2 linked regions of the Xenopus tropicalis genome follow. The protein of the gene in region 1 binds, or shares a complex with, the protein of each later gene. Links are inferred from orthologs where the notes say so. Each region holds a gene or a part of one and is shown in the gene's direction. Other genes may lie near its edges. The genes, in order: eif4a1 and kank1.

The links.
Region 2: the proteins of eif4a1 (region 1) and kank1 are in contact, whole or in part, in a crystal structure (PDB 7DDX), measured with the Mus musculus proteins. The link is inferred for Xenopus tropicalis from reciprocal best matches to the Homo sapiens genes EIF4A1 and KANK1. Residues at the interface, in NP_659207.1 of Mus musculus: Lys99, Val140, Arg141, Val144, Gln145, Lys146, Leu147, Gln148, Met149, Glu150, Ala151, Arg168, Arg169, Tyr170, Ser172; in NP_852069.4 of Mus musculus: Gly1168, Asn1169, Asn1171, His1175, Tyr1176, Val1178, Asn1201, Lys1202, Ala1203, Tyr1205, Met1209, Leu1210, Leu1213, Ala1214, Ala1215, Gln1240, Ala1241, Leu1248, Ser1251, His1252, Arg1254, Asp1273, Glu1274, His1285.

Annotation. Positions count from the first base shown.
Region 1 is NC_030679.2:152,589,086-152,592,679, reverse strand, and holds part of eif4a1 (eukaryotic initiation factor 4A-I), read left to right. Parts: intron 1-1,716; coding exon 1,717-1,765; intron 1,766-1,855; coding exon 1,856-1,988; intron 1,989-2,166; coding exon 2,167-2,306; intron 2,307-2,890; coding exon 2,891-3,059; intron 3,060-3,594. UniProt on the Homo sapiens protein: ATP-dependent RNA helicase which is a subunit of the eIF4F complex involved in cap recognition and is required for mRNA binding to ribosome.
Region 2 is NC_030677.2:128,764,623-128,768,439, reverse strand, and holds part of kank1 (KN motif and ankyrin repeat domain-containing protein 1), read left to right. Parts: intron 1-1,098; coding exon 1,099-1,186; intron 1,187-2,195; coding exon 2,196-2,415; intron 2,416-3,182; coding exon 3,183-3,325; intron 3,326-3,604; coding exon 3,605-3,805; intron 3,806-3,817.

The DNA of each region.
Region 1 (3,594 bases):
CACCCTGTATTTAGGGGCACTTTGCAAGCCTCACCCCTGTGCCCTAGTGACCCCCTAACCCCACATTGGCCTGAGTGCTGTGCCAGTCTGTGGGCCCCTGGTGGTGCCAGTGTGCTGGGGGGGTATTTCCGGTCCCACTAAGTACATGGAGCGGGCACAGTCCGGGGCATTAAGCTGCCGATGTGATTCATAGTGGCCCTTTAACTGCTGCGTTGCGCTTGGGCGTCATTTCACCTACTGCCTGTGACTCATGAGCCGTTGTACCTGCCCCCGTGCCGACTGTGTGACCTGAGCTTAATTGCCCTGTTTGTGTGGCATCAGCAGTTACACCGTGCCCAGCCTGCCCCCTCCTACCCGGGCACCTCACTGCGGCCAAATGGGGCTGCGTTATCCCCCAGTAACGTCCTGCAGGGGGGGCCATTACATCCCAGTGGGTGAGACTGCCGGCTCAGCGGGGCACCTCTTCGTAGCCAGTGGCAGATTGGGGCCTGCAGGGGGCGGGATTGGGCTATTTTAAGATGCTGTAATTCCAGCTGCTGAACTACACTTCCCAGCATGCTTTGAGGGACAAGGGAAAAGTAAGGAGAAATTCTGATGTGGACTGGTTACAGTAGGGAATGTGAGCCATGTGTAGATAGAGTGTAAGCTCTGTGGGGCAGTGTTTGTGGTGACATGATGGCACCGTCTCACAAGCGAGTCTGCCCCAGGCATATGGGGGGGCACATAGCCTGACAGTAAGTGCTTGTAGGGAGCGTGTGACTAAGCGCAGAGCAGGGAGCTGCCTGTAACAGAGCCTCTTTGTGGCGCTCGGCCCAGTCACGCCCACAATATATCTCCTCCCCTTCTGCATTCCTGCCCCCAGGTTTCGTTTCTCATCGGGGGGGGGTGGGGGGGGCAGCTGTGTATGGTATTATTGGGTGGCCCCCTGTCTGAGGGGAGCGTTGGTATAATCATGGCAGCTTCTCCCAAGGGGATAGTAATGTGGCCCAATCCTCCTGTGCCCTCTGTGGGCAGTAGCTGGCCCCTCTGTGGGCAGTAGCTGGCCCCTCTGTGGGCAGTAGCTGGCCCCTCTGTGGGCAGTAGCTGTGCCCTCTGTGGGCAGTAGCTGTGCCCTCTGTGGGCAGTAGCTGGCCCCTCTGTGGGCAGTAGCTGGCCCCTCTGTGGGCAGTAGCTGTGCCCTCTGTGGGCAGTAGCTGGCCCCTCTGTGGGCAGTAGCTGGCCCCTCTGTGGGCAGTAGCTGGCCCCTCTGTGGGCAGTAGCTGTGCCCTCTGTGGGCAGTAGCTGTGCCCTCTGTGGGCAGTAGCTGGCCCCTCTGTGGGCAGTAGCTGTGCCCTCTGTGGGCAGTAGCTGTGCCCTCTGTGGGCAGTAGCTGGCCCCTCTGTGGGCAGTAGCTGGCCCCTCTGTGGGCAGTAGCTGGCCCCTCTGTGGGCAGTAGCTGGGCCCCTCTGTGGGCAGTAGCTGTGCCCTCTGTGGGCAGTAGCTGTGCCCTCTGTGGGCAGTAGCTGTGCCCTCTGTGGGCAGTAGCTGTGCCCTCTGTGGGCAGTAGCTGTGCCCTCTGTGGGCAGTAGCTGTGCCCTCTGTGGGCAGTAGCTGTGCCCTCTGTGGGCAGTAGCTGGCCCCTCTGTGGGCAGTAGCTGGCCCCTCTGTGGGCAGATTGGTTACTCCTGTGTCCCCTTTCCAACGTTAACCCCTCACTCTCCCTCTTGTCATTTCCAGACCCAGAGACAATGGACCCGAAGGCATGGAGCCCGATGGGGTCATTGAGGTAATGTATCCAGTCTGAGTGGCCACTGGGGGTGGGGCGGTGGCCATTGGGGGTGCCCCATCAGGCACTAACTCCTCCCTCCCTTTGCAGAGCAATTGGAATGAAGTCGTTGATAGTTTTGATGACATGAGCCTATCAGAGTCTCTGCTTAGGGGTATTTACGCCTATGGCTTTGAGAAACCCTCAGCCATCCAGCAGCGAGCTATTATGCCTTGTATCAAGGGTAAGTATTGCCCCTTCTGCCCTGTCCTGTTTGTATAATGGGCTGTCATCTGCCCCGGCTCCCCCGTAACTTCCTGTAATGCCACTTGGTACATTCCCTTCACTGAGTTTACTAGTCCTATTGATACCCCACTTTGTGTGACTTGGGGTGAGTGATGTCATGTCTGTCACCCCTTTAGGTTATGATGTCATTGCTCAAGCACAGTCTGGAACTGGGAAAACTGCCACCTTTGCCATTTCCATTCTTCAACAGATAGAACTGGATATGAAAGCCACACAGGCCCTGGTGTTGGCACCAACCCGTGAGCTGGCCCAGCAGGTAAGTCCCGCCCCCTCAGGGTCCTTTTTGCCGTTAGTAATTCCTTCTACACAAACACTTTTCTACATTCATCCTGTGGCCAGAGCATTCCTTCTGCATATATCCAGGCTGCTGTGCCCAGAGCATTCCTTCTGCGTATATCCAGGCTGGTGTGCCCAGAGCATTCCTTCTGCATATATCCAGGCTGCTGTGCCCAGAGCATTCCTTCTGCATATATCCAGGCTGCTGTGCCCAGAGCATTCCTTCTGCATACATACAGGATGGTGTGCCCAGAGCATTCCTTCTGCTTATATACAGGATGGTGTGCCCAGAGCATTCCTTCTGCTTATATACAGGATGGTGTGCCCAGAGCATTCCTTCTGCTTATATACAGGATGGTGTGCCCAGAGCATTCCTTCTGCTTATATACAGGATGGTGTGCCCAGAGCATTCCTTCTGTGTGGGTATTTATTATAAATCTGTGACTGCTTGGGGGGCTACACAGTGCCATGTGATTGCAGTACCCCCTCCCAACTAATGCCTCTCACATTGGCCAATCGCTTGCCTGAATACTTAGCTGTACCTCTGCTTGTCTCCTCCCCTAGATCCAGAAAGTAGTTATGGCCCTCGGAGATTACATGGGTGCCTCTTGCCACGCCTGCATTGGGGGCACCAACGTAAGGGCCGAAGTACAGAAGCTGCAGTCAGAAGCCCCTCATATAGTTGTGGGCACCCCCGGCAGAGTGTTCGACATGTTAAACAGGCGTTACCTGTGTGAGTATCATGAGCCTGCCTCTGATTGGCTGGGATGTACAGGGCTCCCTCTGCTGGTGGAAGGGAAGGTTGCACTTGGGCGGTGGAACATTGAGCCCATTAGTGTGGAATGTTCTCTGTTTGGAATGAGGCTGTTTATGGGCGGTACCAGCACAGGCTTGTTGGGTTGGGCCACTAATTGCAGCGTAGTACAGAAGTGCTCAGGGACTTGGATTGTAAGCTCTGTGGGCCAGAGTGTGCGGTATTAATATGCTCACTACCCATCAGCAAAGAGGAATCTGCCATAGAAGTGCCTATAATGTGTAGCTCCACCCCCCGTCACTGGGCAAGGGCATGTCACGTGGCATCGCTGCTTATATCTGGCGGGGGCAGAGAAACCTCCCATATTCATCCCAGCGCTGTGCCCCCATGCCTGCTGGCTGGTTCATGCTGTGGGCACAAATGCCAGGAAGGGGGGATCCAGCTGTGAGTGGGGCGGAGCATACATTGAGTACGTTGTCGCGTGGCGCCAGTGCAGCACTCACTCCGCTCTGTA
Region 2 (3,817 bases), on another chromosome or scaffold:
GGACAATGACAGACAGGGTGCTTTCTTGCCCTCGAGAAATCTCCTTTCACAGATCACATGAAAATTCTCAGCACTCTGGATCCATTGCAGTTGCCACATTTAAAACAGTTTACATGCAGCAAACCAAGTGGATCTAAGGGCTAAGAATCTTTAGACATGGAAGCTTCCATGTCAGATGTAGCACTTAGTGTTGCTGAACCTCTTGTCTTTAAAAAAAGGAAAAAAAAAATGCTGTTGAGCCAAGCCTGCTATTAGTCTAAAACTGCTAATATCTCCGAAACCACTTAAAATAGTCAATGAATGTAAACTGCACAAGTTCTCAGGGGAACACAACAAGCAAGTTAACACCAATTCATATCTATGGGTTTAGATCCCCTAAGAGGTATTTATACTTCTTTAGATTTCAGATGTTCATATATTTTAACAGAAGATAGGACACATTGTGTTTTCACGTATAGGTATTATGATGGCACGTAGATGCGAAAGCTGCTGTTGTGCTTGGTTGTTGTACTGCTGGCAAATGACATAAAAGAACAGAACATATTGTGACAGACAGGTGACACCTGCTATTTAGAGAGTTCCTGTGGCCAGGTGGTGCACACAAAGAGTACAGCAGCTGAGTGAATGTCATGCTTTTGTCACTGCCATTGTTTGTACTGTAGAAAGCAAGCCATTGAGTGGAAGTTTATTTTATGGATGTAACAATAGTTGTATAGTTCAGCGTGTTACATACATTCTCTTTCAGATATATCTTGTGTTATGCTTTCTCCATTATATCTTTTCTGCTTTGACATCCCAGAACATAGGAACATGTTATTTTATTTTTATGCTCCTAATTATACTAAAGAAAATACATTTTTTTCCCCTTGTTTATCAAGGTGCAGCAGAAAGTTCTTGTTACGGGTCAGCCTGTAGATTGAATGATCATGACATTTTTACTAGTTGTGTAAAAATAATTCTGTCAGCATTGTGTGAGTTAATGGTTTTTTTTTGTTTTAAACAGAGTAAAATTCTAGTTTGGGTTGGGCTGAGAATGTCAAAAAGAATTGTTGGTTTAAGCCAGAAATGTAATTAACTGAACCGCTGCAATTTTAACAGATACGAGCTGAGTGAAAAGATGCTGTCGGCTTGCAATGTGCTGAAAGACACAGTGAGCGATCCAAAGGCGTTGGCAAACAAGGATGTGGTAAGCTCCCCTCAATGGTACTTTATAATTTAGTCTAATTTGGGCACATATTTTTGAATATTTGAAGGCAGTTCTTTTTATTCATCCTTCTCTGGCAATGTGAGACCACAGACCAATGTCAGAGCCAGTACTGTACTGACTGTAAGAAAGCCTCATTCTTTTCTGAAAGGCTCCAAGCAGCACCATGGCTTCCTGCTAGCCATGCATATCTTTGGCTTCTGTGCAGTGAGGAGCATTAGGGAACATTAAGGGTCAGCCTTTTTTTGTGTAATAATAGGATTATGCTAAATGTTAGCCATTCATTTCAGTTTTCAGAATCTTTTATTACATAAAGCCAACAGAACCTAGCAAATTATGTTTATTTCTAAAGAAGATGTTTGCTTATAACAAGAAGTTGTATGCAAGGTCATACTCTGTATTCACCCCCAGCCCCACAGCTGTTCAGTGATATTTTTGTATGCCTCCTTCTGTCTAAAAATCACCCTTTTAAGCTGGTCATACATGCACCAATATTATCATATAGAATGAGGTTTCCTACGATATTTGGTGTGTATATGGTGTATTGTAACGTGTATGGCCACCTTTAATGTTAAGCCATAAATGGTACCATCTGTGCTTTCCTTTGGGTTTATATGCACTGCATAGAGCTAGCAGTTCAGATCTTCAACATATAATATGAGGATAATCACATTTACCATGATTAGATTGAGTATGGAATGTGCATTATTCACTTCCAGGAAAATCATTTCCAAACTCTGTGCAAATTTCACTTACTGCATAAGGAGGCTTGCAAAGCTTTAAACTATGAGTAAGGAATCTATAATATAAAGGTGAAATACTTTCCCCCTGGTCCTGTGACCTTGTTGAAGTCCCAAAGACTTTCTGGGGTTATTAGTGCGAAATCGATATTTCGGTCACATATACTAGACCTTTCTAAAGAATGATATATATATATATATATGTATAATATATGTTTATATTAGAGTGATTTTTCTTTTAATTATTGCAGAGGCTGTGTCTGACCACAGTACAAAATGAGTGGTTCCGTGTGTCCAGTCAGAAATCTGCAGTGGCGCCCATGGTGGAGGATTATATTACTGCATTCAAGGACCTTTCCCCTGCTGTCTTAAGCTACATCATAAATATGGCAGATGGCAACGGCAACACAGCTCTTCATTACAGTGTGTCCCATTCCAACTTTGACATTGTAAAGCTGCTGTTGGACGCAGGTTAGTTTTCTACTAGAGGTAATCCAGGAAGTCAAAACCTACAGCCCTAAAAATATATTACTATTTTCTAAAATGTATCTCCTTATAAAGAGAAAAAGAGTCGTAGTGCAGTGTTATTACTTACATTAGTAAGTGGGAAATGATAAATTACTTTTTGTTTACTTTTCCCATTTTGTTTTTTCCTTTTTTTAACTGTATACCCACTTTTGCCTGATCTGATCAGTATAGGTAAGACAAATGAGTGTTTTTTTTCCTATGAATTCTTAGTTTTATAGAATTAGGCAAACATGGGAAAAAACACTATATTGTTTGACTTATCCACTCAAAGGTTGAATCTAGTCTTTCCACTTTCAAGTTAGTGATCAGATCACATAGTCGCCACAGCTTTTTAAAAAGTTGCTGTGACTAATAAGCCCAGTGCAAATGACGTATGGTTAGTCACTGTGGCTTGTGTGTTACCCTATTTATTTTTAAAAAGTCAAAGAAACTAATTGCTCTGTGTTTTTCACCCTAAAGTGTAAAGATTACTTGGCAAATTAAAACACCATAGTCTTTTGTGTAACAAAACATTTGTGTTGGGCTATTTGTCTTGGGCTATAGTCACTGTCACTTTTTTTTGATACATACCATTTCATTTATATAGCAATAAATGGCATTTGTCATGTATTAAAATGTCCTGTATAACCGTCTTTATTTTCCCTGCACAATCATGCCTTTGATTTGCCTGATGACTTCATGTTTCACTAGAATGCTTGGTTTCTTTGCAGATGTGTGTAATGTAAATCAGCAGAACAAGGCTGGCTACACTCCCATAATGCTTGCTGCTCTTGCAGCTGTGGAAGCACCCAAGGACATGGGGGTAGTGGAGGAGCTCTTTGGCTCAGGAGATGTGAATGCCAAAGCTAGCCAGGTCTGTATAACAGATACTTTATAGCTTGTTAGGTGTTTACCTTGTAACAAGGGTTAAATGCTAGCCTTATTTTTTAGATCTGTTTAAAAGTAGCCACAGCCAGCATAAAGGCTACCATAAATCATTTCATTACCTATTCTTTTTTGTTGCTGCTCCCTGATAAATTCTTTCCCCAACAACCCCCTATCCTGTTGCATAAGTATACATAAATACAGTATATGTAGTTGGGAAAGGGAACCTACAATGCCCGTATAATGTAAATATATTTTCTGTTTGCAGGCAGGCCAAACTGCGCTGATGCTCGCTGTCAGTCATGGACGCATAGACATGGTCAGAGCCCTTTTGGCATGCGGAGCTGATGTCAATATCCAGGATGATGAAGGCTCCACAGCACTAATGTGTGCAAGTGAACATGGACATGTAGAGATTGTCAAACTGCTGCTGGCCCAGCATGGCTGCAATGCTGCCCTGGAAGACAATGTAAGTGACTTG